4 linked regions of the Arabidopsis thaliana genome follow. The protein of the gene in region 1 binds, or shares a complex with, the protein of each later gene. Each region holds a gene or a part of one and is shown in the gene's direction. Other genes may lie near its edges.

Region 1 (7,998 bases):
GGATTTGTTGTCCAAAAGCAATAAGCTAAAGATGACTAAGAATTCACGATAGTTTTGCTATAGAACTCGTGACTTTTAATTCTTAAATATATATTTATTAATAGTATGACATTTTTCGGTTGGTGCGTTTTTTTTTTTTAAATGCCATAAACTGATAAAAGTGCCACAAAGGACATAATTATGTTGATCGGATGGACCATATATGTACCCAATTACAAGTGTAATCAAGCACCTTTTTGTGATGAAGATTCAATTATTATGCTGAAGAATTTGTTGTATAGTTTATACACTCTTCTTCGAACAACCAAACTCTCCGCTTTCAAGTTTCTGCCGACGTAAAATAAATTGTTTAGCGTGTTATGCCAAAACTCAGGCCACTTTTATGAAATATATGACAGAAAACATATATAATAATTAAGTCAGGTGTGCGTATCCACTAGAAACAATTTCACACCTCCCGACTTCGATATGACGAAACCACTAGACTATATTCACTACTTTTTGCAACCTTGTTTAATCTGCAACTAACCACGAAATACAAAATAAAATAAAATGACATGTTTTGACGAGTCTAAAAAGGGCTATGGCATGACCAAATTTGATCTTGATATTTGTTTTTACAAACTTAATTAGCATTCTGAGTTTTTGATCTCATCATCCATAGTCCCTCGAAAAGTAAAATAAATACTATTCACGACCAATGCTTTATTTCTTGAAACTAATGTTATATAGTTTGCTCAAAGACAAAATATTATGAAATATATGTGAATGAGATTTTTTTATCACACTTTTCGTACTTACCCCATGCAATGATTCATGATTTGTTTTTCTTTTTTTGTTGGTAATGCCATCACAATTCACAACCCCTTTAGGGACCACATGAGATGATAACATTAAAATTGTTATAGTTTAATATTCTTTTATATATATGGTATGTTGCCACTTGCCAGTCCACATTATTCAATACTTCCACCATTAAGTCTAACAGTTTTTTTTGCATACATATATAGGATTCTTTGTCAAATACAGCTCGTAACAATGTACCATGCACGACTTCCGCATAAAAAATATTCATTCAATCATCCCACCAATACAGATGATGGTGTTACATATATTCATTTATGTAAAATTTATTATCATCAAAGTAAGACCTATTTCGATCGTATATTTCGCACTACTACATAATGCTTTGGATGTAAAGTAGCCAAAAATGGTTGTTACGACTTACGACTGTGCACACCGAACATAAAAAAATTGATCTAAAATTCTTGGACGCTTTGATTTTGGCTACACCGATTAAACATGTCAATGAAAAGTCAACGGGATTTTTGGCTTACACGTACGTAGGATCAAACAATTTTTTAGACATAACATATTTGTCATTATTTTGAATCTTAAGAGCTGTTAATTTGAAAAATTATAAACCTCACTTTTTCAATATAAACATGTATGTTATCCGTACTAATATTAGCTAGCTTTTACTATGGCATAGCTATAGATGATTGCTAACTAGGTTAGGTGGAGATTCAATAACAACAAATTAAACGATACGAAAGAAGCATGACCATGTACTTTACTTATCTTCATATGCTAGCTGTTGCTAATTATATGTGTTTCATTTATCGTCTTTACTAATCGCTAAGTCTAACGTACCATATATTACATATTTAGATCGTAAGTTTCATGTCCAGTACCTTGATTCATGTGACCATATCTGTATACTAGAAACAGTTCGTCTGACGTAACATATTTTGGCATAATAAAAATTATGGGTACACGATTGTTAACCGATGTAAATACAAATTAATTAAGAGATGTAGAACTTTTAGACAATAAACAAAACATAAACGAGAAATAAACTACAGATACAGTACTTGAAACTCTTGAACTCTTCGTGATAGCTAGAAATAGAAATCTGCGTCTTCACAGTTGACAAGAAACCTAGAAAAACAGATTAGGTGTGCTATTAACGGTCAGATTATTCTTATATAAGTTCGATATGCGTTCTCGAATATTATTAATTTAAGCTAAACTAGACCCAAAACTCCAAAAGAATCCAACATGTTTATCCATATCTACCTAAGACTACTTGTGATCCAAATAATTTTCGAAAAACAATATTTCTGTATTGATAAATAAAGGTCAAATTATCAATTACCACTAATATATGTTTTTAAAAAAAAATTTGCTACAATGTTTTTGCAGGTGTACTGTGTTAGGCACATGTCGTTTTATACCCTTCAAATCCAAGTTTTTCCCGTTTGTGATGATAGCCAATGCTCCCGTAACACACACGTATACAAATTTGCCAATGTCTATCTAACACGTGTTATTACGCAACATGCTTATTCCAAAATAAACAAATTAAGATGAGATAAGTGTCACATAATTATACAATATGAAATAATATCAATTGCATACCTATTTTATATACGTGAGTGACTCGTAGGAAGTAGAAATCCTCTTTGTTTTATTAGGAGCATATATCTTCTCAATTTACTTTCTTTTCTTAACTCTCACGAATCCTCTTTTAATATTTTCTTAACTCTCACGAAAACAATTCCTTTTAAACTTTGAAATTTCCTTAAAATTGAAAAGTTCCTATATATGAAACTGAAACATGATATAATTGACCATCTTATATTTCACTTTCTACTATAAAACAATTCAAACTGTAAAAAGAAGAAGAATTTACTAATCAATCTCAAAAAAGTAAAATAAAATTTAAACACACAGAAAATTACGAACGTTACGAAACCAAAATCACAGAAATAACGTGAACATAAAAAAAGGGTAAAAAATTAAAATAAACTCTTTTTTACCCTTTTTGGGGGCCCACCAGAAAACTGCATCTCTTATAGGCCTCTCTCTCTTCCATAGACCCATCTTCTTTCTCTTTCTCTCTTCCTATCTCACAGCGACAATCTCTATCTCTCTCTATCTCTTCTCCGCTCACAGCGAATCTCTCTCTCTCTCTCTCTCTCTCTCTCTTCTCCGGTGTATTCCGTTCTCCGGGAATTTCTCCGAAGAGGGAGAGAGGAAAAAAAAAACGTCCGATTCAATCTCTTCGTTGCTCGACGAATTTTTCTTAAGCTTTCCTTATTGGGTAACTTTCTTTCCTTTTATACTTTTTTCCCGATCTCTCTCTCTCTCCTCTGTTTTATTATTTCACTCCCAAATAAAAGTTTTTATTTTTTTCCATTGTTTTACCTAATTTTTATGTTTTCTTCACATCGCAGAGATTTGAAGATTCTGAGTGGTTGTTATGATAATGTGGGTTTGATTAGTTCTTCACACACAGCTTCTCTACGCTCATGGATTCTTCTCTCGATGGTATTCACTTTTAGATTTCTGGGTTTCATTGGTTGCTTAAGATTTATCGATATCCGTGTCTCTTTGTTTTTCCCTATAATAATGTTTCAACTTTCAAAAATAAATAAATAGTCTTACTTCTCTTTGTTTTTAGCTTTGATGATGAATGATGAAGCTTTGGATTCTCAAATTTGTGTTTATTTTATTCAATTGTTTTCGAAAGTTGGAGACTTTATATACTTTTTACTAAGTTGCTACTGAGTTTAGATTACTAATCTTTCTATTTTCTATTGCAAGTTTTATGTTTTCTAATTGGTGATTATTCTAAATGGTGGGTCTTTACTTTTTTTTTGGTTGATTGGTTCTAACTTCATATTCTTCTGTGTATGTGTGTGTGTGTGTTTCTTCCACTATCATTGGTTTGATGAATTCTGTTTTTTAATTTAATCGTGCGTCAGAAGACTATATGACTTTTGTTCTGTGTATAGAATAAGATTCCATGATTGATGAATGTGGGTTCTGTTACCTAAAAGAATCATGCTTTCATTCTTTGCTTTGGATCTTTGGTTTCAGAATCATCTTGAAGAGCATTGATCTTTCCTTTGTCATGTTGTTTGGTTCTCTCTGATTCTTTGATGTCTATTGACCCAACCTTATCAACATTGTTGTCCTGTGGTGGTTGTTGAACTATCTTTGTTTTTAGATGAATAAAGTGTTTTAGTTTTCAGTATTCTAAATTAGCTTTGTGTTTGTATTTATTTGAATTTGGAATCATTCTTCTTAGTTTTGGTAAACAAGAAGATCAGACACAAGTTTCTTTGGTACATTCTTTTATTAGTCTTGGATAGTTTTGTGTGTTTCTGGTTAAGACATTGTTGTTCTCCATTGCCTTCACTTTGAGTTCACATAATTTGACTTCCTTTTCTTCTATATGCAGGAGCTGCAGGTGACTCATCGAAATGCAGTGAAATGAGTGTTGATGAGAAGAGACAGCTTGTTTATGAACTGTCGAAGCAATCACATCTAGCTGCTGAGGTCTTGCAGGCATGGAGCCGCCAAGAGATTCTACAGATCTTATGCGCAGAAATGGGAAAAGAAAGGAAGTATACTGGTTTGACCAAAGTCAAGATCATCGAGACCCTTTTGAAAATTGTATCTGAGAAAAACTCTGGAGAGTGTGAAGGGAAGAAGAGAGATTCTGATTGTTTGCCTATTCAGAGAAACACTAAGAGACAAAGGAAGGTTGATAATCCTTCTCGGTATGTGATTCCAGCAACCAACATTGTAACAAGCAACAATGCCTCAGGGAGCTGCAGCTCGGTTAATACTAAAGGTAAACAGTCTTCTTTTTTTGGTTCAAAGTTATCAACCTTTTTGTACATACTAACCCGGAAATAGAATTTGGTCAGGTGAGAGTACTACCATCTACTGCAAAAATTTGGCTTGTCGTGCTGTACTGAGACAGGAAGACTCGTTTTGCAGAAGGTGTTCATGTTGCATCTGTCGTAAGTATGATGATAACAAAGATCCTAGTCTCTGGTTAACATGTAGCTCAGATCCTCCATTTGAGGGTGAGTCTTGCGGATTCTCGTGTCATCTTGAATGTGCTTTCAACACTGAAAAATCCGGTCTTGGAAAAGACAAGCAAAGTGAGGGATGCTGCTTCTATTGTGTCTCTTGCGGTAAAGCAAACAGTTTGCTTGAATGCTGGAAGAAGCAATTGACGATTGCTAAAGAAACCAGAAGGGTAGAAGTGCTTTGTTACCGTCTTTTCTTAGTCCAGAAACTATTGAAGAGCTCAACTAAATACCGAAATCTGTGTGAGGTTGTGGATGAAGCTGTCAAGACTCTTGAAGCTGATGTGGGTCCTCTCACTGGTCTTCCTATGAAAATGGGTAGAGGAATTGTAAACAGACTTCATTCGGGACCCGATGTGCAGAAACTTTGCTCTTCTGCTCTTGAATCTCTTGAAACTATAGCAACTACACCTCCTGATGTTGCTGCATTACCTTCACCTCGCAGCTCCAAGATGCAGCAAGGTCAGAACTTTTGTACCCTTCAATGATTGAGTAATATATTAAGTTTGTTGAATAATGTTGATTCTCTGATTTTGTTTCGTAGATTGTTCTTATGTATTGAGCAATGAGATATCTGCAGATACAGCAACCACAGGATCAACCAAGATCAGGTTCGAGGATGTAAACGCGACTTCACTTACAGTGGTTCTCGCCTCTAATGAAATTCCCTCACCTCCAAACATCGTTCACTACAGTATTTGGCATCGTAAGGTACCAGAAAAAGATTACCCGGAGAAATCGACTTGCACATTGTTTATTCCAAACACAAGATTTGTTGTCTCTGGATTAGCTCCAGCTTCTGAGTACTGCTTCAAAGTTGTGTCCTATAGTGGAACCAGAGAAATGGGCGTTGATGAAATCAATGTTTTGACACGTAGCGCTGAAGAAGGAGCGAATTGCTCTTCGGCAGTGGAAAGAAGCGTAAGCCCTCTCACAAATTGCAGCACATTGTCTTCTAATCCTTCTTCTGTTGAAGCTGAGTCCAACAACGATTACATTGTCCCAAAGAAGCCATCTTCAAAGAACGAAGACAACAATTCTCCTTCAGTCGATGAAAGTGCTGCGAAAAGGATGAAGAGGACAACCGACTCAGACATTGTACAGATTGAGAAGGACGTTGAGCAGATTGTGTTGTTGGATGATGAAGAACAAGAAGCTGTTCTGGATAAGACGGAATCTGAAACTCCAGTCGTGGTTACTACGAAAAGTCTTGTTGGTAATCGAAACAGTTCAGATGCGAGTTTGCCAATTACTCCCTTCAGGTCAGATGAAATCAAGAACCGTCAAGCTAGAATCGAAATATCGATGAAAGACAACTGTAACAACGGTGATCATTCAGCGAATGGAGGAACAGAAAGTGGATTAGAGCATTGTGTGAAGATCATAAGACAACTCGAGTGTTCAGGACATATCGATAAGAATTTCAGACAGAAGTTTCTGACTTGGTATAGCTTGAGAGCAACGTCACAAGAGATTAGAGTTGTGAAGATATTCATTGATACATTTATTGATGATCCCATGGCTTTGGCTGAGCAGCTCATTGATACTTTCGACGACCGTGTTTCGATAAAGCGTTCTGCGGTTGGTGGTAGCGGTGCGTCTGCAGTTGTTCCATCTGGATTCTGTATGAAGTTGTGGCATTAGAGAATGGGAACTTGTGCTCTGTTTTTTTCAAGTCATTTTCAAAACGTTATTCTAATTATTGGGAAATTTGCATTATTGGAACATTTCCATGCAAGAACAGTAGTACTGTTGCTATCGAATAGATCGTCTTTGTCGGATTATTTATTTATTTTTAGTGGATTTGATTCCATTTATAATTTAGTAATTAGTCCTAGACTGAATTATTCTTATTTCGTTGACTATTGGATTATGTTATTTTATCAAGTAGGTTATGAAAATGACCATTTCTTTGTATGAAGCTGTGAGAACAGTGAAGATTTTAAGTTCTTTCGAAATTAAATTTGTTTAAACTTTATATTTTGTAAATAAAGCTATCCAACTTTATTGGAATTCGAAAACTGCAGTAACAAATGCAACAAACTAATACGTCATCGTCATTCATCATCACATAAAGGTTTTTGGTTTGATTATGGGTTCCATTAGTTGATTTAAGCACAAAGAGGTTGCAGAGACACTTTGTTTGTTTTCTCTAATATATACATCACATTTGTTTGTTTGTATACGTACATTCATAACAACAAGCAATGAAAGTATATATATAGTTTTATTGGGGTTCGTATCAAACAGATGTCAAAAAGCAGAACTAGTGTTGTGTTGAATTTTCCAAGCATCATCTCTTTGGCTTCATTGATCTTAGAAGCACGATAGTGACTTTCTCCAGCGTTCGGGTGGTTTGCAACAATCACTCTACATGTCTACTCTCTACTATCCTAAACTAGACGAACCACAGACTAAGTACAAATTATGAGGTTTGATCTCAAGTGTGTTGAACCAAATACCTCTGACATATAGTAACCTGCAATGCAACACTACATCCAGATTTCCAAACCCAACAAACAACATCGGATGTGTGATTTGCAATAACCACTACACTATTAGTTTCTTCCTGCAGTGTATCTGAGGATGTTTCAAGCTTATTCTCAAATTGTTTGGAGACCCTTATGGGCCTAACAGCCCAATAATATCTATGTGCTTTTGGGCAAATGATTGGAGACCCTTATGGGCCTAACATGTTGAGAATTTCTTGTTCACTTGTTTCTATTGACTTAAGAAACTTGGTAGTTGGTACATATATACACTATATACAACAACTTGAATCAACAGTAAGGAAGGAAATAATGATTCCAAGTATCCAACTTGTTGTACCATGAATAGAAGTGTGCACATAATATTTCTTTTTACCAAATCATGGGGTAGAAAAAGAAAAGGCACATGAAAGCGAAAGAAAAAGAAGAAGAAGAAAGCTGGTCCATTGAATGTTGGAAAAAATGGACAAAGGCATGTTACGATTATTCCTCTCTTAGAAACCTTTGAAAATATTTTATGATTTCAGCGAATCTTTAGCAAGAACAACAAGAAAACAAAGAGTAATATATATACTCAACCCATAGTTTTTTTAAAGTTGCAAAAAGTAGGAAACGGACAC
Region 2 (9,351 bases), about 14 Mb from region 1:
TTGGAGTATATCACCATGATTCCTTGCATTTGCACTAAGATAGGTCTTAATATGTTTGCAGCACCTCTAGTGGCTTCTTCACCTCATAAAGCACCATCACAAGGATCCTCAGCAACTACGTCAGTAAGATCTCCAGGGAAAAAGAGGCATCCCAATCTTATTCTTATCTTTTCTATAGCCGCTGGTGTGCTTATACTTGCCATAATCACTGTACTTGTTATTTGTTCCCGCGCACTCCGAGAAGAGAAAGCTCCAGATCCTCACAAAGAAGCTGGTATGTACCTCTTCTGATTACAAGGTTTAAATTATAGGCCGATCTCAGTTAGGAATACGTGAATCATGTCAAAAGGTACACATCATGTGAGCAGCACATTGGGAAGTTAGCATAGATGTTGGGATAATGTCAACTTTTATATTGGGTTTAAAGTTGTGTTGTTAGTTGTCAACAGACCTTATGTAAAAAGCCAACAGACCTTAGGAATCAAACAAAAGGATTGAGAAAAATGGGGATACATAGATGATGAATGATTGCTGTCCACTTACCAGTGTGATTTATGTTACTTTCCTAAATCCTGGCAATTAACTTTTAGTTCTTGTTCTTAGTAAAAACTTGATCGCATATTCCTTTCTTTCAGTAAAACCAAGGAACCTGGACGCTGGTTCATTTGGGGGATCTCTTCCTCACCCAGCAAGTACACGGTTTCTGTCATATGAAGAACTCAAAGAGGCAACTAGCAATTTTGAATCTGCTAGCATTCTAGGAGAAGGTGGGTTTGGCAAGGTTTACAGAGGCATCTTAGCCGATGGTACTGCTGTAGCGATTAAGAAGCTCACAAGTGGTGGGCCACAAGGTGATAAAGAATTCCAGGTGGAGATTGATATGCTTAGCCGTCTTCATCATCGTAATCTTGTGAAACTTGTGGGTTACTATAGTAGTCGAGATTCTTCTCAGCACCTACTTTGTTATGAGCTTGTTCCAAATGGCAGCCTCGAGGCTTGGCTCCATGGTAATATCTCCTCTTTGCTTCCCTTGCTGCCTATTTTTAGATCTGACATTGTCAAAAGTAGTTATTGTACACTGAGTTCATCTACAAGAGTGGTTTATTTAAGTCATTGTTTATGCTTCAGGGCCTCTCGGGTTGAACTGTCCTCTTGATTGGGACACCAGAATGAAGATTGCACTTGATGCTGCAAGAGGACTTGCATACCTTCATGAAGACTCGCAACCCTCCGTTATACACAGAGATTTTAAAGCCTCTAATATACTCCTTGAAAACAACTTCAACGCCAAAGTTGCAGATTTTGGCCTAGCCAAACAAGCTCCTGAAGGCAGGGGTAATCACTTATCTACTCGTGTTATGGGCACATTTGGGTGAGTTGCTCATATCTCTCGACAGTTTTCATATACAACCTTAAATTCTGAGTTGCCTATTGAATCCGCGATCTGTTTTCAGATATGTTGCGCCTGAATATGCAATGACGGGACACCTACTCGTCAAGAGTGATGTTTATAGTTACGGTGTGGTCCTTCTCGAATTGTTAACTGGTAGAAAACCTGTGGATATGTCACAACCTTCAGGCCAAGAAAATCTCGTCACTTGGGTAAGTAGAAAGTTCTTGTCATCTCCTAGATCTTCCTGCACTTTCATTGTCGAAAACTTAAGCTTTTGAAGTCTCGAATGTAAAAATTTGATTCTGGATGCAGACAAGGCCAGTTTTAAGAGACAAAGACCGGTTAGAAGAACTAGTCGATTCAAGACTTGAAGGAAAATACCCGAAAGAAGATTTCATAAGAGTATGCACAATCGCTGCAGCTTGTGTTGCACCTGAAGCTAGCCAGAGACCAACGATGGGCGAAGTGGTTCAGTCACTTAAAATGGTTCAACGGGTGGTTGAGTATCAAGACCCGGTTTTAAACACTTCAAATAAAGCTCGTCCTAACCGGAGACAATCATCAGCTACGTTCGAGTCAGAAGTAACCTCTTCTATGTTCTCTTCTGGTCCTTATTCTGGTCTAAGCGCTTTTGATCATGAAAATATTACACGAACAACTGTTTTCTCAGAAGATCTTCACGAAGGCCGATGATAGAAGCCAGGGTTTTCTTCTTTTTATTTGTTTTTCTCCCACTTACGGTGAGAAAATTTCCACCAGAGAAGCTTTTGAGTTTGGGACATTATTACAGCTCTTTGGATTTTGGATTCTCCTTTATTGGAGGATAGAATTTTGTATATATTTTTGCGTTAATTAATTAATATTTGCCACAACCATCAGATATACAAATAGAATTTGAATATACTTTTTCCAATATAAAAAAACTATGTACAGGTGATTAGTTTGTACTGTTAATTTTTAAAGGCTTTTTACAGTAAAAGTTTTTACAGCTAAAAGTAACAGTATAATACTTTTTTTTTATGGAATAATCTAAATAAAATATAATCTGTTGAAAAACTAATATTTTAAATATAATTTTTATGGTATCAAACCAATATTTAAAGTAATTCCTTTCTTATTAGTTAAAATCACAGTTTTTATTATTATTATTTTTGATAGTGGTTATGTTCAGGAAAGGACTGTCATACATTCAGGATGGATTTACAGAGATTGCAATGGATGTTTCCTTAGTTCAGGGCGTGCTCAACTTCAATCGTCACAATTATCTCTTCAAGCAGAGGCTCTCGGATTTCTTCATGCCCTTCAAGTGACTTGGTCCCGAGGACTACATTATGTACTTATGTGTGGTTTGAGAGCGATAATGCAGAGCTAGTAAATCTGATCAATACGCAGAGTGATCATAATAAGATCATCACTCTTCTTTATGATATTCGTTATTGGATGGTGAAGCTTCCGTTCTCTTCCTTAGCACATGTTAATTGGGAAAGAAATGCAGCTGCGGACATCTTATCTAAAAAGGCTCAGTTAATTAATTCTCTGTACCACCATTATGGTTAGAAAGATATTTGTATCTCCCTTTACAAGTTTATAAGAAGCATACATATGTTAAAAAAAAAAAATCTTTACAGTTTAAATCTTTACGCTCAGAGATTTTTACTTTACAGCTAATATTCTTAGCCTCAATGGCTAGTATTGTTAACGTCAAAGTTTCTAAAGCCACACAAATCATAGTAGTTACCTTTAAGATAAAATACAATTATAATCACAAATATCTTAATATTTTTACGTTCAGAGTTTATTACTTTACAACTAATACTTATCTCAAACGTAACTGCTATAACCTGTGTGGCTCTAGAGACTTTGACGTTAATAATATTAGCCATTATTAGCCTCAACGGCTCCAGAGCCAGGCATGTCGTAATAGTTATCTTTAAGATAACATACAATTATAATCACAAATAGAAAATAATTGTCGCAAAACCACTAATTAAATTACACACGTATAAGCACTATTCATTCACACGTGTGGCGTTCTTTGTATGTAATGTAACCCCCCTTCCAGTCCACACTCCGTTCGTCCTTCTCACAAGTCTGATTGCGGAAAAAGCAGAGAGAGAGAGAAAGTTCGAGCGGAAGAGAAGCGGAAAGCTCGAGGAGTCATCAATGGTGACGGACGATAGCAACTCCTCTGGACGAATCGTACTCAGATTTACCTTTCAATCTCCTCTTTTTTTTTTTTTTTTGATTTATTATCTGATTTTGCTCGTATGCGCATGATCATTCGCGTTTTTTCAGCTGATTGTTCGTGAAATCCGTTTGAGTTCATCAAATTATAATCGCTCTCTTACTTTTGTTCACTGTTGGAGTTGATGGACCTTATAGAATTAGTGTTTTTCCTCGTTGCTTTTGTTTTTTACACGATTTTTGTTTTGATTTGGGCTTCTGAATAGAAGTCTCATGTAGATGATGATGATGATGGTGAAGAAGAAGAAGATAGACTCGAGGGTTTGGAAAACAGATTAAGTGAGCTTAAAAGGAAAATTCAAGGAGAAAGAGTTAGGTCTATTAAAGTAAGAGAGTTTCTATACTTGATGTTCTTTACTAATTATACTAATGTCTAAAAAATTTGAAATCATTTATCCGTTTTTGATTGTTTTCCTGGGAATGTAGGAGAAATTTGAGGCTAATAGAAAGAAAGTGGATGCTCATGTTTCTCCCTTTTCATCTGCTGCATCGAGCCGAGCTACCGCAGAGGATAATGGAAATAGCAATATGCTTTCTTCGAGAATGAGAATGCCACTCTGCAAGTTAAATGGTTTTTCTCATGGTGTGGGAGATAGAGACTATGTTCCTACTAAGGATGTTATATCAGCAAGTGTCAAGCTTCCTATTGCTGAGAGAATACCGCCATACACTACCTGGATATTTTTGGACAGGCATGCACCTTTTCTAGTTCTCATTTTTGCGTTGGTAGCATGCTATTCTAAATTCAGTTGAACAATAGACTAGAACATCAAATTCAGTTTTCATATTATGTGTTGTTTTTCTTTTCTGAAAAAATATCTTAACCATGCAGAAATCAAAGAATGGCTGAAGATCAGTCTGTGGTTGGTCGAAGACAAATCTACTATGAACAACATGGTGGTGAGACGCTAATATGCAGCGATAGTGAGGAAGAACCAGAACCTGAGGAGGAAAAACGTGAATTTTCCGAGGGTGAAGATTCCATTATATGGTTAGTTTTGCAGAGAGTGTAAATTATGGACTCTCATGTACTCTGATGGGGAAAAATTGTGATACTGGTATTTGAAGAAGTACCTGGGTGGAATTTATTAACCAATGAATCACATTTGTTGATGCTAAAAAAAGATGTCATATTTCGTATTCATATCAAATTTCATTCTGTAAGACTCTTCATTAGCATTAGGTTTGAAATATATCTCACTATATATGAATTTCTTCATACCTCGTTTGACTTGAATTGGCAGGTTAATTGGGCAGGAGTATGGCATGGGTGAGGAAGTGCAGGATGCCCTTTGCCAGTTGCTAAGCGTAGATGCTTCTGATATCCTGGTGCAGTTTTTAGTCATCTTGTTCTTGTGGTTTATCTAATGATGTTTTTCTGGTCTTCCTATTCTTCTTCACTAATGATGTTTGGCTTTCCTGTCTGCTGCAGGAAAGATACAATGAGCTCAAGTTGAAGGATAAGCAGAATACCGAGGAATTTTCTAATTCCGGATTCAAGCTGGGAATATCTCTGGAAAAGGGCCTTGGTGCAGCTCTAGATTCTTTTGATAATCTTTTCTGCCGCCGTTGCTTGGTACTTGGATTGTTCTTTGTGACAGAGAGAGCATGTATTATTAAGTGTTTGTTAATCATGTTAATCCTTCTTTGGTTATTTCTAACAGGTATTTGACTGTCGTCTGCATGGATGTTCTCAGCCTTTGATTAGTGCTGTAAGCTTGAATTTGTCTTTACTTTCTTTAGTTGTATTGCTAAAGTTTCAGTGGACAACATAACAAGAGAACTTTGGTTGACAGAGTGAAAAACAGCCTTATTGGTCTGATTATGAAGGTGATAGGAAACCCTGCAGCAAACATTGTTACCTCCAGGTCTATCTCTCTCTCTGTCTCTTTACATTCTCAGAGTGATTTGTATATTCGTAGTTAATAAACTATATTCATTAGTGAGATCATGGAATATATGCTCTGACCTAGATTGAGGTTTAGCATGTATGCGTTTGCTAGAGGAGTGATCTTTCATTGTAGTTGTACTAGTGCATAGTCTTGTTTATGCAGTAATTTTTCTTGGTTCCAGAGTTTGAATCACCATTATTCTTATGTTAATGATTTTAGCTCAAGGCGGTCAGAGAAGTACCAGAAACATGCAGTAATTTTGCATCTAAAGCAGAAGAGAAAGCTTCAGAAGAGGAATGCAGCAAGGCTGTCTCCTCTGATGTTCCCCATGCTGCTGCTAGTGGTGTCAGTCTGCAAGTTGAGAAGACTGATATTGGTATCAAGAATGTAGATTCATCCTCTGGTGTAGAACAAGAGCATGGAATTAGAGGAAAGCGTGAGGTCCCAATTCTAAAAGACTCCAATGATCTGCCTAATTTATCGAACAAGAAACAGAAGACCGCAGCCTCAGATACAAAAATGTCATTTGTTAATTCTGTCCCTAGCTTAGATCAGGCATTGGATAGCACAAAGGGTGATCAAGGTGGAACAACTGACAATAAAGTAAACAGAGACTCAGAAGCTGATGCAAAAGAAGTAGGTGAGCCTATTCCAGACAATTCGGTCCATGATGGTGGTTCCTCAATTTGTCAGCCACACCATGGTAGTGGAAACGGAGCAATAATCATTGCAGAAATGTCTGAGACAAGTCGACCATCTACAGAGTGGAATCCTATCGAGAAGGATCTTTACTTGAAGGGAGTCGAAATCTTTGGAAGAAACAGGTAAACTGGATCTTGGTAAATTATTATCTTTAAACACAGAACACCTATAACGTATTTACATCTAGTATGTTTTGTCCGTGCTATCTCAGCTGTCTTATTGCAAGAAACCTGCTTTCTGGCTTGAAGACATGCCTAGATGTGTCCAATTACATGCGTGAAAACGAAGTTTCAGTTTTTCGAAGATCTAGTACCCCAAATTTGCTGTTGGATGATGGCAGGACTGACCCAGGGAATGATGTAAGCTCTTGATCTTCCTAGGGTCTTTTGTCTTTTCAAATTTTCTGCAGTATCTGCGACTTTGGGCATTGTTGTATTGAAAGTTAGCTTGTCAGACTGATAGGGTTAGAGATCTATTCCAGAAGAAAAAAGTTCTGATCCGGAAAAGCCAATTTCCTTGCTTAATTTTTCCCTGATACCTGCATTGGACAAGAGAAAACGATAGTTGACCATAAGTTGGCTTAGACAAGTGATTATTTTATTTGAGATTTTATTGATATTAGCATGCCATGTCTGTCAGAATCATATTTTGGTTTACCGCTCTCTTACTTTACTTGACAGAATGATGAGGTGCCTCCAAGGACAAGATTGTTCCGTAGAAAAGGCAAAACCCGGAAGCTAAAATACTCTACAAAGTCTGCTGGTCATCCGTCTGTCTGGAAAAGAATAGCTGGTGGCAAAAACCAGTCCTGTAAACAATACACGCCGTGTGGATGCCTGTCAATGTGCGGAAAGGATTGCCCTTGTCTAACTAATGAAACTTGCTGCGAGAAATATTGCGGGTATGCAAACAAATTAACGTCAATTGAAGTAACAGAGGATCTTCTTATAACCATCCATTGATTTAATTCAGGTGCTCAAAAAGCTGTAAAAATCGTTTCCGAGGATGTCATTGTGCAAAGAGTCAATGCAGAAGTAGGCAGTGTCCCTGCTTTGCTGCTGGCAGAGAATGTGATCCAGATGTTTGCAGAAATTGCTGGGTTAGGTAGTCATTTTAAATCTAGATCTCTTGATGTGCCATATACAATCAAATCTACTATTTGATGAGTAACTTAAGATGCCTTGCTTATTCACTCAGTTGTGGAGATGGTTCTCTCGGTGAAGCACCAAGACGCGGAGAAGGGCAATGCGGAAACATGAGACTTCTCCTGAGGCAACAACAGAGGGTATAATACTGTCATCAAATCATGTATTTACTAAAAATAAAATGCATTCATTGTTGATAAATCTAGTTTCTCATGTGCTATATTTACCAGATCCTATTGGGAAAGTCTGATGTTGCTGGATGGGGTGCTTTTCTAAAGGTAAAGCATGTGAATATCTTCCTCATTAACTTCTGTTTCATACCTCTTGTATGTAATCTGAACCTCATCTGATCATCAGAACTCGGTCAGCAAAAATGAATACCTTGGAGAATACACCGGTGAATTGATCTCACACCATGAGGCGGATAAGCGTGGGAAAATATATGACCGGGCAAATTCGTCCTTCCTCTTTGACTTGAATGATCAGGTGACCAAATCTCTCACCCTTCTTTCTGATAGTTTCCTCTTGAATTTCGCATATGTCAGTAAGCTTTTGATATTTGCAGTACGTCCTCGATGCTCAACGCAAAGGTGACAAGCTGAAATTTGCCAATCACTCAGCTAAACCCAATTGCTACGCTAAGGTACTAAATGCTTCTCTCTCATATCCATTTTGGTATGAAAAAACCACATGATCGGTTAGTAATTATACCTTCTTTCTCACCTCTAGCCACTCAAAAGTTCCATTTAGAAGGAGGACTAGGATTATAACATTTTGTAGAAACTAATCGCAATTAGCACTATAGAAAACAGATGATCAAATCTAGCTTTGTAGGTTATGATCAAAACACACTTGTTTCTACAATCTTTATGATTGTAATGTGTAAAGTAACATGTGTATATCATCTGCTAGATTTATTCAACCCTTTTCGAAAGGTGTTAATTATTTACAAAAAAGAGCGATTTTCAGTCTATTGTCGTAGTAACCATGGTCTCATCGCTTCCCGCATAAGTACGGTGTCTTTTTCTGTGTGGTGTAGGTGATGTTTGTAGCAGGAGATCACAGGGTCGGGATTTTTGCAAACGAACGAATAGAAGCTAGCGAAGAGCTTTTCTATGACTATAGATATGGACCAGACCAAGCACCAGTGTGGGCTCGCAAACCTGAAGGCTCCAAGAAAGATGATTCAGCCATTACTCATCGTAGAGCCAGAAAGCACCAATCTCATTGATGATTACTGGCTAAGAGAAGTAACTTTTATAAAAATAACTTATAGAGTTGTGAGAGATGATATTTGAAGTTTGATAACTTAAGCTTGTCTTTATTAATTAATTATTATAGAGTTGAGATTTTATTTTATTTTGACATCGAGTTTGGACTTTGTATAGGTGATAAAACAATTTATGAATTATTGGGGTCAATAAGTAAAAATGTATCATTTCGAAAAATAGTTTCAAATTTATGGATTTTTGAACAGCTAAAGCCAATCTATGTACTTTTCAACGAATAAAACTGATTTAAAATAAGTGAACGAACCAATCACACTAAACCAGTGCCTAATCTCATAAAAAGTAATCCGACTGCTAAACCGTATTCCGGTTCGAATCGGATACGGATCCGTTTCCCAGTTGATTAGTCGGATCCAGTTTCTTCTTGCTTTTTCAATTCACATTACGAATCTCCGACGCCAAAATTCTGCTTCCGGTAACAGATATTTTCGTCGTCGAGAAGAAGCAGGAGTTTAGAAAAATGGCGACGGAGGCAGCTCCGATGGACGAAAAGGCGAAGAGAATGAGAGATCTATTGTCGAGCTTCTACGCACCGGATCCTTCAATCTCGACGAGTGGTTCCTCCATCAACGCCTCTTTCGATAACATCAACAGCACTTCCTTTGATGCTGATCAGTACATGGATCTCATGGTTAGTCTTCGTTTCTTGTCAGAATATTCGTGAATCGTCAACACAAGCGTCAATA
Region 3 (6,264 bases), on another chromosome or scaffold:
GCCAACCGTTGAAGCTAAAGCCCTCTCAGAAGTCTCTCCTTCTGTACCAGCTGATGCTTCCTCACACTTGTCTCCATCACCTGTGCCAATCGTAGAAGCTAAAGCCCTCTCAGAAGTCTCTCCTTCCGTACCAGCTGATACTTCCTCGCACTTCTCTCCAGCACCTGTGCCAATCGTAGAAGCAGAAGCCCTCTCAGTAGTCTCTCCTTCTGTACCAGCTGATACTTCCTCACACTTCTCTCCAGCACCTGTGCCAATCGTAGAAGCTAAAACCCTCTCAGAAGTCTCTCCCTCTGTACCAGATGATGCTTCCTCACACTTCTCTCCTGTGGTTGTTGAACCTGAGTTTCAAGTAAAGAAAAAATCTTGCTTTGGTGTGATCAGTTTAATTTCCTTAGGCTTCAGTTATCAATTGGCTTAGTTATCCTTGTTTCTGTTTCACAGGCTGGCAGTGTGGATATTGAGATAGGAAGTGAGCAGAGGCCGGATATAATAGATACTTCTCACTCTAATTCTGATGATGAAAGTAATTTCCAGGGCAACAACCTTGTCATTACTGCAAAAGATGACAAAAGAGAAACAGAGGCAACTCAGGGAATAGAAAACTCGGAGACTGATGAAGAGAGGAACTTGACGCACTTAGGCAATCAAGAGTCAAAAGCAGACCATCTTGAAGGAGCTGATGTTTCAGCAGATGTTGTGCCTACTGAGACCAGGTATCAAATGCATACAACTAGGTCTCTTCTTTACTGGTCCGATCCTTATATTAGGATAATTTACTTCATTGATGGATCTCTTGTTTTTGAGTAATAGAAAAAGTCATTCAAGTTGATCATATTGGCACCACTTCAGTTTGAATTCTTATATCTTTTGTTTTTACAGACAAATTTCAGAGACAGGAGCCGGTGAGGTGAAAGAGACGGAAACTGGTGAGGTGAAAGAAAGGTCAAGTTCGTGGAGCAACATAATGTCATTTGCGAAAGAATTTGCGAACTTTTGGAGATGAGGGTAGATATAGCCAGGGAGCTTTAGACACGCTCAGGAAGGGTAGGTAGAGGTGTGTAAAGTATACCAGTAGAAGCTGTTTTGTTTTGACATTTTGCGCAAAGGTTTGGAATCGACCAAGATGTCTTAATCTAGACTATTATTGTCCTGCTGGCTATGAGTCTAGATTAAAACACACAACAGTTTTAGAGGCTTGTTTTGTGATCGACCATTTTGTACAAAGGTATAGAATCTCCCAAGATGTTTAACATGGTAATCTATACTATCGTTGTCCTACTCACAATGAGTCTAGATCAAAGCTCGTATTTTCGCTAATTCATTGTTTGTTCTACAGAACTACAAATCCAAATAAATACTCGAATAGACATTATTTCATAGCAATTTTTATACATGTCGAATAAAGACTTCATTTCATAGCAATTTTGATACATGTTCCCGTAGTGGTACAACCAAAACAAAATGTGTTGGAAAGTTGGTGCCGCAGACAGCAGTAGCATAGCTCTAGCTCCCACGGTATGTGGAGAAAGAAAAAGGTGCAAGCAACAGTGGGACATGGAAATGCTCCCATTTCTGTGATTCTGTAACCTGAAATACAATGGAAACATAGGGAAAGAAGCAGCCTGGGGAATACTTTGCAGTGTCGAAGCTAATCCTATATGTCCCTGGATTCAAAGCGTCAACCAAATCCATCAGTGGCCCACTGCGCCCATCTCTATCAGTAGCTGATGTGCCCACACTGGACCAGACCCCACCACCTCCATGAACAAAGGAAGGACCGGTAGTACCACTCCACACTTCTAAGTGCACTTCAACACCTGCAGCTGGAGCACCACGTGAGACGTCTAAGACATGAGTCGTGATCGGTGGCCTACTTCTCTTGGGAGCTTTTGCTTCAGCTGCAACATTCAAATGCCCTCCAATGATTCTCAGACGATCTTACAAAGCGAGAAAGTAGAAAAGGTCACACAGATAACAAAGATAGCCATAAGGGTAAATCCTTGTATTCCAAAAGACACATACTTGATATCATACTGAATCCTAACAGGTTCAAACCCACACAGTCAAACACAAAACTTTGACAAGGAAAAGATTTGGTAAATCATCAATATACCTTGAGGTTTTGTTGAAACAGGAGAGCTAGAGCTGTCAGTTTCTGATATAACTTTAGCCTTATCGGAGAACAGCTTTGCCATTCGTAGCTCTGTTATTTTCATTTGTTCCATAGCAGCAATCTCAAGCTCCACTATTGGCCTATTTTCATACCTTTCCTGAAAAAGAGACGATTTGATGAATATGTAACTTTCTCATTCACTCACACTCAACAAAAACTGATTTGGAAATGCAAAAGTTGACCTTTAACGCATGGAGCATCTCAGCGTGAGTCCTGCCAGAAGCGCAAATAATGAAGATAAAGCCAAACTTCTTTTTGTAAAGTACATTCCATTCGGCAAGCTCCTAAGAAATTGAAAACAATTGATCATCAGAAGAAGAAATCACTGAAGAGATGAAGGAAAAAAAAAGTGAAGATCCATCACCTGTAAAGCAGAAGCAGAAGTTGTGGCAAAGGCGGTTGACTGTTCTGATACGCTCCGACGAGCAAAATCGGAGTTGATAGAAGGTGAAGGAGTATTCCCAATCTGAGGATGAGCAGAGAAAGCTTCAAGCCAATCTGTCACATTAACTTGGTTGAACCAGATGTCTCTTGCAGTATATATTGCTTCTTGAGAAGTTAACGGTCCAGACGTAGACATCTGCTTCGCGAATTCGGAGCTTCCACAGCAAACCTTCCATTCATCTTCTCCGATCTCCATCGCCATTTTTTCTCTCTTTTCTCCAATCCTCACTTCTGTTGACTGGTGTAAGATCAAAAGTCATCTAATTGGGCCTTTTCATAAACGGGCTTTTCAAAAATGGGCCTTTTCTTTATCTTCTTCCTTTTTTTATTCATCATCTTCTATATGTGAATTATTCAGAAACAGAAGCGAGAAGTTTCTTACAATTTGTAAAGAGATCTGTTTTAGGGTTTTGCCTTGTTCTTGTGGCGGGAATAACAAAGACATCGCCGATATGGGGAAAGACGAAGAGGAAATGCGAGGTGAGATCGAGGAGCGACTAATCAATGAAGAGTACAAGATCTGGAAGAAGAACACTCCTTTCCTCTACGATCTCGTTATTACTCACGCTCTCGAGTGGCCTTCACTTACTGTTGAATGGCTTCCTGACCGTGAAGAACCTTCCGGTAAAGACTACTCCGTTCAGAAGATGATTCTCGGTACCCATACCTCCGAGAGCGAGCCCAATTACTTGATGCTAGCCCAAGTTCAGCTTCCTCTTGACGATACCGAGAGTGAAGCTCGTCAGTACGATGATGACCGCTCTGAATTTGGTGGCTTTGGCTGTGCAACTGGAAAGGTGCGATTTTTTATTTTTGTTTCTCATTTCCAACTTTCTAGATTTGATTCTAGGGTTATAACGAGGTAAAGGATGATAAATGTTAGTTTGATTGCTTGTGTAGGTACAAATTATCCAGCAGATAAATCATGATGGTGAGGTTAATCGAGCTCGCTATATGCCTCAAAACCCTTTCATAATTGCTACCAAGACAGTTAATGCGGAGGTCTATGTTTTCGATTACAGTAAGCATCCATCTAAGCCTCCTCTTGATGGGGCTTGTAATCCTGATTTAAAGCTTAGAGGTCACAGCTCTGAGGGATATGGTCTCTCTTGGAGTAAGTTCAAGCAGGGTCATTTGCTTAGTGGCTCTGATGATGCTCAGATCTGCTTGTGGGATATTAACGCTACTCCTAAAAACAAATCTCTGGACGCTCAGCAGATTTTTAAGGTAATGCTTTGGATTTCTATTCGTTTTTAGTTTTGTTTTGTATCATCTAGAAAGGAAGGAATTGCACCCACTTAACGGAATCAGTTACACTTATGAAAGCTCATAGATAGATATTCAGGTTGGTTTCTGTGTTTTCCTTGCTGATGATTATTTTCTGAACTTAAGGCTCATGAAGGGGTTGTGGAAGATGTTGCATGGCATCTGAGACATGAGTACCTGTTTGGATCAGTTGGAGATGACCAATACCTTCTCATATGGGATCTGCGTTCTCCATCTGCCAGTAAACCAGTACAGTCTGTGGTTGCTCATTCGATGGAGGTGAGTTTGCAATATATTAGCTTTAGATACAGATAATACTTCTGGTTTTTAAGCTTGCTTTCCTTAACACTAAAAACCATTGAATCATATTGCCTCGTATGTATTTGCTAATTGTTGAGTTGTTTGAAATGCCTTAGGTTAACTGCTTAGCCTTCAATCCATTTAATGAGTGGGTTGTGGCAACAGGATCAACTGACAAGACTGTTAAATTATTCGATCTACGGAAGCTAAGCACCGCTCTTCACACATTTGATAGCCACAAGTAAGAATGATACGCCATAAATATTGCCGCTTTGAGATGGATTTTGTGTTACTAAGAAGTATTTACAAGTTACAGCAACATCACTAACCTTAATTATGTGCTTGATCTCCAGAGAGGAGGTTTTTCAAGTTGGTTGGAACCCAAAGAACGAGACTATTTTAGCTTCATGTTGCCTTGGTAGAAGACTTATGGTTTGGGACCTTAGCAGGTTTGGGCCGTAGACTTTAGTTCTTTAGTTTAATGTTCATGTATGGTCATGGAGGAGCAATATTGATATGTTTGAGGGTGTCTTATGATAGGATCGATGAGGAACAGACAGTGGAGGACGCAGAAGACGGCCCACCTGAGCTGCTGTTTATTCACGGTGGTCACACTAGCAAAATTTCAGATTTCTCGTGGAACCCTTGTGAAGATTGGGTTATTTCCAGTGTTGCTGAGGACAACATACTCCAAATATGGCAAATGGCTGAAAACATCTATCATGATGAGGATGACGCTCCAGGGGAAGAACCATCAAAAGCTTCTTAGCTTGTTATTTAGTATCCAAAGCGCACTGATCTTATGGGACAGTATTTATTTATACATCTCTGCTATTGTTTAGTTCAAGTATTTAGTGTTCATTGTGTAAAATGAGGCATGAGAGGATGGTAGCAAGTGGGAATTTTTCTTTATAACATGAAGGAGTTGATTCTAATCTCACTAAGTAGTGTCAACCAAAGCTATAACTCTTAGTTTATACCCAGATTGGGCGACATTAGAAAGAAATTACAAATTTGAATCAAAGTCTCTGACATAAAATTTCAAACTGAAAGTCACTTGTCACAATGGTCCTTATTAAAGCTACTGGATAGCTTGGTTTGATTTGATATTGATAAATGATAACTAGCAATCGAAAAGAGATCTGTATTGGGAAGCCTCGTCAGCCATCTCCTGAATGCTCCTATCAACCCGGTCTTTATCTAGATCAAGCTTCTGCTTCAGTTCCTTCTCCTTCTCATCAAGCTACAAGAAGATACCACCATAAGATTTGTATAAAACCAAAGCTAGGAATGTGATCAAAATGCAACAACTTACAGCATCATAGATTTCATCATTCTTCTCAAAGTCACCACCTTTACGAGGCAAGATATGAATGTGTACATGGGGAACAGTCTGTCCCGCTTGAGGGCCATCCTAAGCCATTTTCATGAAACCAAAGTTAGATCGTTTCAATTCCAATCCATTAAGATTTAGACGCAAGAAACAATGACGAAAGAAAGGAGATGTTTAGTTTACTTGGATGGCTAATGTGAGAGAAGACGCATTATGGAAGGTCTCAAGCTTAGAGCCAACCTTCTGAGCAGTAAGCCACAGGTCACTGGTCTCATCAGCTGTAAGATCAGTAAATCGTGGCACAAGGCGTCTCGGGCAGACAAGAACATGTGCTCGTCTGGTTAAAGTCATCCAATAGAACTCAATTTACAAAACAAAACCGAAAAATGAAGAACACACAAAAAAAAGAAGGATATGACCTGCAAAAAATAGATGAAAAAGAAGGTCAGAAGAAAGTTGAAGAGGTTCGATGAATAATTAGAGAGGAATGAGGCATACCAGGAAGAAGCGGACGGAGATTAACCATGGCATAAGAGAGAGGCGTTGCGTAGAACACTTCACGGGGATCGATTTTGTACGGCCCAAATGCGTACGAAGAACAAGTAGACGACATCTGCAGCAATCAAAACACTCAAAAATCAATCCTTCTAACTTGTAAAGTAGAGACAAAATGTTGGATCGTATAAGGAACTTACCTTTCTCTGACAACGAATACTAGATAAGATCGTCTTCCCGGTTACTTGCA
Region 4 (8,128 bases), 5.3 Mb from region 1:
ATTACTTGACTAAACCTTCTGATCAAGACCAGATTTTTCCGTTGAACAAGATAATAGCTAGGTGTGTACGTTCAGGAGATATAGATGGAGCTCTTAGAGTGTTTCACGGAATGAGAGCTAAGAACACCATTACCTGGAATTCTCTGCTCATTGGGATTTCTAAAGATCCAAGCAGAATGATGGAAGCACACCAACTGTTCGACGAAATCCCTGAACCAGATACTTTCTCTTATAACATTATGTTGTCTTGCTACGTTCGTAATGTTAACTTCGAGAAGGCACAGAGCTTCTTCGATCGGATGCCATTCAAGGATGCGGCGTCATGGAACACGATGATCACAGGGTATGCACGAAGAGGTGAAATGGAGAAAGCGCGGGAATTGTTCTACTCCATGATGGAGAAGAATGAAGTTTCTTGGAATGCCATGATCTCTGGATACATTGAATGCGGAGATTTGGAAAAGGCATCACATTTCTTCAAAGTGGCTCCAGTTAGAGGCGTCGTGGCTTGGACGGCGATGATCACAGGGTACATGAAAGCCAAGAAGGTTGAATTAGCTGAGGCAATGTTCAAAGACATGACAGTGAATAAAAATCTTGTAACTTGGAATGCTATGATCTCTGGTTATGTTGAAAATTCTAGGCCAGAAGATGGATTGAAGCTTTTCAGAGCTATGCTTGAGGAAGGAATTAGGCCTAACTCGTCTGGACTAAGCAGCGCATTGCTCGGATGCAGTGAATTATCGGCGTTACAATTAGGGAGGCAAATACATCAGATAGTGAGTAAATCTACATTGTGTAATGATGTAACAGCATTGACGTCTCTGATCAGTATGTACTGCAAATGTGGAGAACTTGGTGATGCTTGGAAGCTCTTTGAGGTGATGAAGAAGAAAGATGTTGTGGCGTGGAACGCAATGATTTCCGGGTATGCTCAGCACGGTAATGCGGATAAGGCTCTGTGTTTGTTCCGTGAGATGATAGATAACAAGATCAGACCGGATTGGATAACGTTTGTTGCGGTTTTACTGGCCTGTAACCATGCTGGACTAGTGAATATTGGGATGGCATATTTCGAATCGATGGTGAGAGATTATAAGGTAGAACCGCAGCCTGATCATTACACGTGTATGGTTGATCTTTTGGGTCGGGCTGGGAAGCTGGAGGAGGCATTGAAACTGATAAGATCAATGCCGTTTAGACCTCATGCTGCGGTCTTTGGGACGCTCTTAGGGGCTTGTAGAGTGCACAAGAATGTGGAATTGGCTGAATTTGCAGCTGAGAAACTGCTTCAGCTAAACTCGCAAAATGCAGCCGGGTATGTGCAGCTTGCGAATATCTACGCATCGAAGAATCGTTGGGAAGACGTTGCAAGGGTTCGCAAGAGAATGAAAGAGAGCAATGTTGTGAAGGTAGAGCGAGTCAAAGTTCGATTCTTTATTCGAGTTACAAGACTCTAATGTATTTACTTGACTGTTTCAGGTACCTGGATACAGTTGGATCGAAATACGAAACAAAGTTCACCATTTCAGATCAAGTGATCGGATTCACCCTGAACTAGACTCAATACACAAGAAACTGAAGGAGTTGGAGAAGAAGATGAAACTAGCTGGATACAAACCGGAACTAGAGTTTGCTTTACACAATGTAGAGGAAGAGCAAAAAGAGAAGCTATTGTTATGGCACAGCGAGAAGTTAGCTGTTGCATTTGGTTGCATAAAACTCCCTCAAGGTTCACAGATACAAGTGTTCAAGAACTTGAGAATCTGTGGTGATTGTCATAAAGCAATCAAATTTATCTCGGAGATAGAGAAACGAGAGATCATTGTAAGAGACACCACAAGGTTTCACCATTTCAAAGATGGGTCTTGCTCTTGTGGCGATTACTGGTGAAAAGAGAAGAGCTTTGACTCTCTCATTGGTCAAACCTGACTGTATTTATATGCGTTATTGTGTGGTAAAGTTTCGACCTTTGACTTGACAAGTTGCCGTTAAGAAGAGAGATGCGTAGATCAGCGAGTGGTTCTAGAGTTTTGGATCATTTTCCGGCGACTTCAAGGTCTCCGCCTCGATCTCAGAGTGTTACAGCAATGGAAGATGATGTGGAGCTGCTTTTGCCTAGGTACGATCCGAATTCTCAAGCGGGGAAGAGAGAGAAATCAAGATTCAGATTTTCAGAAAACGTCATCCATTTGATTCCTCTCATTCTTCTTCTCTGTGTCGCAATCCTCTGGCTCTCCTCTTACTCAGGTAAGCCGAGAAATTGTTTCAATCTCTATGAATCCATAATTGATCTGTGAAACTTAATTAGGGATTTTACAAAGACTCATATGGATATGAGGATCGAGATGTCTCTGCAACGTTAGAATCTTGTGTTGAATTATGGTTTCAATTTGTTCATATAATACTAAATCGGTGATGGATTTGGAATTTGTCAGCAGCGTTAAGGAGTTGAGTTCCAAAAGCAACATGTTGTCTTGTCTCCATGGGAACTCATATTCAGTTTTGGGAAAGGAAACAATTCTTTTACCGCCGGTGATTTTGTGCCGCAAACCATTCGTATTTGTAATTTTTGGTTCTGTAGACACACAAAAGGATCTCTCGTTTTCATGAAATGTATGTTTAATATTTCAGTGATATACATCACACAACTCAAGTAGAAAACACTGATGGTTATCCATTAATCATTCTATTGGTCGAAAAAAAGATTAGTTTCAACTTAATGCCACCTTAGGATTATATGTTCCTGTGAGTTTCAGCTAGCCAACTCAACTAGAGTTAAACAATGGAATCAAAATACATATTCAGTAATTTATTTTAAACTCTGACTATTTATGTAAAACACAAATGGAAATCAAAATTGAAGGTCATGAAGATTCTATTCTTAGTGTGAAAAGTATAGATCAATGATTCTTAATTTCTTCATCCTCCACGCATAGATCAATGGTGAATATGGTTTTAAATCCTCTAATACTCACTGTACTGCCATGGTAGAGTTAAAAAAACAATTTTAGAAATATTAGTGGATTAAGGCATTAAGCTGTCCAAGTTGCTTGTATTTTCTTTTCATTTTATTAATTAAAAAAAAAGTTCAACTATTTATTGACTAATAATAATACGTGTTAAATGGTTATCGGTTTAAAATATGGGCCATAGGCCCAGACTTGAAGAAAAACTTGAAACCCAAAGTTTTATTTTTACTTGTTTTCTTTCTCAGTGAATATCTCCCAATCAAGCTTCTTCAATTTTGCTTGCTCTCTCTCTTACACGGCCAATCGGTGTTTTCGCAGCTTTCAGGTTTGTCTCAATCTCAAATTAAATCGGAGTCAAGTAATAACAATTGATAACCCTAATTGTTTCAATTATATTGTAAGATTTGAAATTTTGCAGTAGATCCGGAATCGTATTCTAGTTCTGGAATCGTTGATCTCGATGGAATTTTTTTTAAGATTTCTTCATACACATTTGGTTCAAAAGATCACATAATTTTATTTTAATTTGATAAGTATGATGATTCTGCTAAGTGGCATTGGATAAAGTTTTCATTTTTGCAATACGTCTAAACTTGTCTATGTCTTGAATGAACTCTCTGAGTTGCTTAAAAAGTCTTGTGCTTTCTTTATTACACAGGCCTCAATACAAGACATTCTATATAAGCATATTGCAGAAGAGGCGGTTCTAATTGTTGCATGGAGTTGAACAATATGACGTAGGGAAATTCTAATTTAGGGGAGGCCTCAGAGTTTGCACTAACTTCATAATCAGCTCTGGACGTTGTTGATTGTATTTGAACAAGAATGTGTAGGCAGAATTGTCGCGCGAAATCCTCACCGGAGGAAGTGATTTCAACTGATGAGAATCTCTTGATATATTGTAAACCTGTTCGACTATATAACATCTTTCACCTTCGCTCTCTAGGCAACGTATGATTTGGCCTTCCTCTCTCATCATTTTAGCTTAGTAATCTTTCATCTCCTGTGTAGATCACCCACTAATAGTTTGAGTTTGCTAAGCTGATTATGGTCTGACTCATGGCGAGTGTGTGCTTCTTTTGTCTCCTAATGTTATTTGAACTTGTTGTTTGTTGTTGCAGCCATCGTTTCTGCCAAGATGCTTGAACTACAAAATTGGGGCAAAGCGCAAAAGAAAGTATGCGTTTCTTCTTGAATGTAGTTGCCACAGTGATATGTTATTTATCTTACTTCTAATATGGAAGCTGATGAACTATTTATCTTTGTTGAGTAGATATGGACATAATGAATGGTTTCTTCTTTGTTCATGCTATACACTTATATTTTACAAAATTGTGTTTTGCTTAGGTCAAGATCTACTGGGATGGTAGTTTTCAACTATAAGGATTGTAATAATACATTACAAAGAACTGAAGGTTAGTCTTTTTCTGTTCTTCGACAAAATTCGATGTCAATGTCTATGTTTCTCTAGATGATTTGTTATTTACTATTTTTTTCTGTATTGTCACGCAGTTAGGGAGGATTGTTCTTGTCCATTTTGCTCTATGCTATGTGGTAGCTTCAAGGTGGGCAACTATTACAACTGAGGTTTCTTCCGGGGCCTTTCATATCTAACACTGTGAAATGCTACTGCCGTTTAATGCTATATACTTTCACTGTTTGGTTACATATTTTTGTGTTTGTTGTTTGTCTTCTTGCTCTTTTTAAACTGCTGAGTGTGTGCTTATCTGAGAAAACATGTTCCAGTTCGAGCTTACAATCCATTGTCTTGTGTCTATGCAGGGGCTGCAATTTCATTTGAATTCATCTCATGATTTATTTGAATTTGAGTTCAAGGTATGTGGTTTTATGGAATTTCTTGTTTTGCCTATGCCGTTAGTAATGAGGTTATAGTTAAAAAAGGGTCTTTCCTATTGTAGCTTTTGGAAGAATACCAGACAGTTAATGTTTCTGTAAAACTTAATTCCTTCATATTTGAGGTCAGTTACTTTAAACTTGGTTAATTGGGAAATCCTATAGCTGGTGAAAATTTGGTTTATATTCCATCCTTATTTGTACTAGGAAGAAGGAAGTGATGATGATAAATTTGAGCCCTTCTCTCTCTGGTAACTCTCAGAACCCCTTGATTAAATACCTTAATAGCAGTAACTCCTTGCTTTTCTTGTCAGTACTTCTCTATAAATCCAACCACAATGTTTTGCAGCTCGAAACCTCGTAAGCGTAGACAAAGAGGTGGCAGAAATAACACCAGGAGACTTAAAGTATGCTTTTTACCGTTGGATTCACCCAGTTTAGCTAATGGCACAGAAAATGGAATTGCCCTGCTGAATGATGGTAAAATCACATCTTCTTCTGTGGTATTCGTTGTGGCTTAGAACTTCATTTTACAGAAGAAGATACAATGTCCTGATTGTTTAGTTTTTGTACTTCTCCTCGCATTCTTCTTGTGAGGGTAATGTTACCAGAACTGATGTACAAAATTAATGGCATGCTACAGGAAACCGTGGTTTAGGATATCCCGAGGCAACAGAGCTTGCTGGACAATTTGAGATGACTAGCAACATTCCACCAGCCATAGCCCACTCTTCTCTGGACGCTGGTGCTAAAGTTATATTAACAACCGAAGCTGTGGTCCCTGCTACTAAGACAAGAAAGTTATCTGCTGAGCGATCAGAGGCTAGAAGGTTTGTTCATCATGACACCCCGTCATCATAATTACCATACCTGTTGTTACAAATGTTCTTCCTATTATGGATAAGTGTTTACTGTACTGCCATATTAACCGAGAAAATTTCTTCCAGCCACCTACTTCTTCAGAAACGCCAATTCTATCATTCTCACAGAGTCCAGGTGATCCAAGTTCCTTCACCTACTTCTTAGGCATTTTCTTTAAATTGCTCATGATGATATCTTATCAAAGCATACTTGGTTTGTTCTCATCTAAATTTGTATTTTGATTCTGTATGTATCAACGCAAAAAAATTATGTCCATGTTGTCTCCGTTTTATTGCCACTAACCAAAAACTGCATGTTTCTTGTGACAAGCCAATGGCGCTTGAGCAAGTAATGTCTGATCGGGATAGCGAGGATGAAGTCGATGACGATGTTGCAGATTTTGAAGATCGCCAGGTATTCCATGATTTCTTTCTGCGTTCATTAAGTAGGCAACAGAAAATGGTATACGATGTAACTTGCTAATGGCTTTTGAAACTTAAAAAAGCTGCAGATGCTTGATGACTTTGTGGATGTGAATAAAGATGAAAAGCAATTCATGCATCTTTGGAACTCGTTTGTAAGAAAACAAAGGTAACTACTTCTCTTACACTTGAACACACACAAAAAGACCTTATGTCTTACATTCCATACCTGTCTAAATGATTCTGCTTATGGAACTTTGAGCTCAAATTATGATTGATGTTTGCAGGGTTATAGCAGATGGTCATATCTCTTGGGCATGTGAAGTATTTTCAAGATTTTACGAGAAAGAGTTGCACTGTTACTCATCACTCTTCTGGTAATATAAGTACACCAAACATATACAGACACATAACTACACTATCAATTTTGTTTCGTTTTTCTGAAAGAAAAATAAAAAATTCCAGGTGTTGGAGATTGTTTTTGATTAAACTATGGAACCATGGACTTGTCGACTCAGCCACCATCAACAACTGCAATACCATCCTCGAGAATTGCCGTAATACCTCAGTCACTAACAACAACAACAACAGTGTGGATCATCCCAGTGACTCAAACACCAACAACAATAACATTGTGGATCATCCGAATGACATAAAAAACAAGAACAATGTTGACAACAAGGACAATAACAGCAGAGACAAGTAATTAAATAGGAAACACTCCGGTTTAGATGATACCGATCTATCGGATTGTAACTTATTCTTCTTTCTTAAAAAAATTGTTTAGGAGCAAACAAAGATTTTATTTGTTAGTGTATTCAACTGATTACATTTTTAGTTAAAAAAATGGATTCTCCTTAATAACTAAAGACTGAAAAATAAGATAAGTTTCCTTAATTTTTCTTTTTGACTTGAGAAAAAGCTCCTCTAGACCTCTAGTAAATAGGAGTTATATATTAATCAAGTACATAACATAAAAATATATATATTAAGTGCAAATAGATTGAAAACAAATCAAGAAATTAATTAAGACACAGTGATTAAGCTTAAAACCCCATTTTGACTTGTTCTTTCTCAATGAATCCCTCACAAGCAGCAAGCTTCTTCGATTTTGCTTTGACACCACCAATCAGTGTTTTCGAATCTTTCAGGTTTGTCTCGATTTCAAACTAGATCGGAGTCAAGTGATAAAATTGACTAACATAATTATTCCCGTTCTCTCGTAAGAGTTGGGATTTAGCAGTAGATCGGAAATCGGAATTTACGTTTTTGTTAAAAGATTGATGGTTTAGGTAATAAAACATAGTTCTGGATTCATTGCTTCTAGTTGATTCTCGAATTGTTTGATTTCGCAATGCACATTTTTGGTTCAAAGGATCACATAATTTGCTTTAAAATTTGACAAAACATACCATCAAATTTCTCATATTTCTTCAAGTAACTCGAACTTGTTGGAAATCTATATACTCTGGGCTATGTAGATAAAGTCTTAACATTTTGGTCAACATTGTTTGTTCTCTAAACTAGTTTGGGTTCTCTGTTTTAAAGTTTGGTGCTTTCACTATTACACAGGTCTTATACAAGACTACAGTCTCTAGAAGCATAATATCGTCGACTCTGTTTTGAGTTTCCCAACAGTGGTTGAAGCTTAAGGAGGTTCTTATGTGCCTTTTGAAATCATGATTGAGGTAAAGCGACCTGGTTCTTCCACGCGGATCACCACAACACTCCTTGATTCTTTCATGATTCTTTTCAGAAACAAACACATCTTATTACCAATCTTTGCTTTCATAGCGATCCCTCTCGCAGCCTTACACCTCTCCTTAACTCTTACCTCCTTTCGCCTTAAAAACCATGTCTTTCGTTTAGAAGCCTTAGCTAACGTTGTGCATACACGGTTTGAAGCTAGACAGATTTGGCAAGAGTCTAGAGAAGATGCTGTCTCGCTTTTACATCTCAAATTCCGGTATTTCGTCCCATCCTTTATCCTCTCCTGTATGGCCTCCATAACTGTCATCA

Evidence for each region.
Region 2: VEL1 (region 1) and SWN share a complex: the UniProt entries of both Arabidopsis thaliana proteins name them as parts of the plant homeodomain / polycomb repressive complex.
Region 3: VEL1 (region 1) and MSI1 share a complex: the UniProt entries of both Arabidopsis thaliana proteins name them as parts of the plant homeodomain / polycomb repressive complex.
Region 4: VEL1 (region 1) and VRN2 share a complex: the UniProt entries of both Arabidopsis thaliana proteins name them as parts of the plant homeodomain / polycomb repressive complex.

Annotation. Positions count from the first base shown.
Region 1 is NC_003075.7:14,785,387-14,793,384, reverse strand, and holds VEL1 (vernalization5/VIN3-like protein), read left to right. Parts: upstream 1-2,883; 5' UTR 2,884-3,106; intron 3,107-3,239; 5' UTR 3,240-3,314; coding exon 3,315-3,333; intron 3,334-4,249; coding exon 4,250-4,645; intron 4,646-4,721; coding exon 4,722-5,351; intron 5,352-5,433; coding exon 5,434-6,533; 3' UTR 6,534-6,853; downstream 6,854-7,998. UniProt on the Arabidopsis thaliana protein: Maybe involved in both the vernalization and photoperiod pathways by regulating gene expression. Binds preferentially to dimethylated histone H3 'Lys-9' (H3K9me2).
Region 2 is NC_003075.7:883,137-892,487, forward strand, and holds SWN (SET domain-containing protein), read left to right. Parts: upstream 1-3,443; 5' UTR 3,444-3,556; coding exon 3,557-3,592; intron 3,593-3,843; coding exon 3,844-3,963; intron 3,964-4,063; coding exon 4,064-4,329; intron 4,330-4,469; coding exon 4,470-4,628; intron 4,629-4,881; coding exon 4,882-4,966; intron 4,967-5,069; coding exon 5,070-5,213; intron 5,214-5,301; coding exon 5,302-5,349; intron 5,350-5,433; coding exon 5,434-5,505; intron 5,506-5,748; coding exon 5,749-6,353; intron 6,354-6,442; coding exon 6,443-6,590; intron 6,591-6,911; coding exon 6,912-7,132; intron 7,133-7,203; coding exon 7,204-7,335; intron 7,336-7,428; coding exon 7,429-7,516; intron 7,517-7,606; coding exon 7,607-7,654; intron 7,655-7,733; coding exon 7,734-7,862; coding exon of another isoform or gene 7,863-7,941; coding exon 7,942-8,019; coding exon of another isoform or gene 8,020-8,070; exon of another isoform or gene 8,071-8,415; coding exon 8,416-8,607; 3' UTR 8,608-8,851; downstream 8,852-9,351. Other genes in the region: AT4G02010 (Protein kinase superfamily protein), read left to right, coding at 62-274, 636-1,007, 1,129-1,372, 1,455-1,602, 1,706-2,086; AT4G02030 (Vps51/Vps67 family (components of vesicular transport) protein), read left to right, coding at 9,126-9,296. UniProt on the Arabidopsis thaliana protein: Polycomb group (PcG) protein. Catalytic subunit of some PcG multiprotein complex, which methylates 'Lys-27' of histone H3, leading to transcriptional repression of the affected target genes, mainly abscisic acid (ABA) responsive elements.
Region 3 is NC_003076.8:23,553,040-23,559,303, forward strand, and holds MSI1 (Transducin/WD40 repeat-like superfamily protein), read left to right. Parts: upstream 1-2,972; 5' UTR 2,973-3,072; coding exon 3,073-3,417; intron 3,418-3,520; coding exon 3,521-3,847; intron 3,848-4,012; coding exon 4,013-4,165; intron 4,166-4,302; coding exon 4,303-4,427; intron 4,428-4,539; coding exon 4,540-4,635; intron 4,636-4,726; coding exon 4,727-4,955; 3' UTR 4,956-5,206; downstream 5,207-6,264. Other genes in the region: AT5G58210 (hydroxyproline-rich glycoprotein family protein), read left to right, coding at 1-352, 445-716, 883-1,006; TTL (transthyretin-like protein), read right to left, coding at 1,507-1,940, 2,117-2,273, 2,359-2,460, 2,541-2,822; FHIT (FRAGILE HISTIDINE TRIAD), read right to left, coding at 5,310-5,429, 5,502-5,600, 5,703-5,851, 6,018-6,132, 6,215-6,264. UniProt on the Arabidopsis thaliana protein: Core histone-binding subunit that may target chromatin assembly factors, chromatin remodeling factors and histone deacetylases to their histone substrates in a manner that is regulated by nucleosomal DNA.
Region 4 is NC_003075.7:9,472,911-9,481,038, forward strand, and holds VRN2 (VEFS-Box of polycomb protein), read left to right. Parts: upstream 1-3,158; 5' UTR 3,159-3,297; intron 3,298-3,630; 5' UTR 3,631-3,797; coding exon 3,798-3,923; exon of another isoform or gene 3,924-4,093; coding exon 4,094-4,149; intron 4,150-4,319; coding exon 4,320-4,387; intron 4,388-4,484; coding exon 4,485-4,537; coding exon of another isoform or gene 4,538-4,559; intron 4,560-4,754; coding exon 4,755-4,808; intron 4,809-4,891; coding exon 4,892-4,951; intron 4,952-5,033; coding exon 5,034-5,077; intron 5,078-5,175; coding exon 5,176-5,306; intron 5,307-5,469; coding exon 5,470-5,656; intron 5,657-5,773; coding exon 5,774-5,822; intron 5,823-6,017; coding exon 6,018-6,101; intron 6,102-6,198; coding exon 6,199-6,278; intron 6,279-6,396; coding exon 6,397-6,486; intron 6,487-6,574; coding exon 6,575-6,815; 3' UTR 6,816-6,968; downstream 6,969-8,128. Other genes in the region: AT4G16835 (Tetratricopeptide repeat (TPR)-like superfamily protein), read left to right, coding at 1-1,412, 1,483-1,893; AT4G16840 (uncharacterized protein), read left to right, coding at 2,004-2,250, 2,439-2,455; AT4G16850 (uncharacterized protein), read left to right, coding at 7,789-8,128. UniProt on the Arabidopsis thaliana protein: Polycomb group (PcG) protein. Plays a central role in vernalization by maintaining repressed the homeotic gene FLC, a floral repressor, after a cold treatment.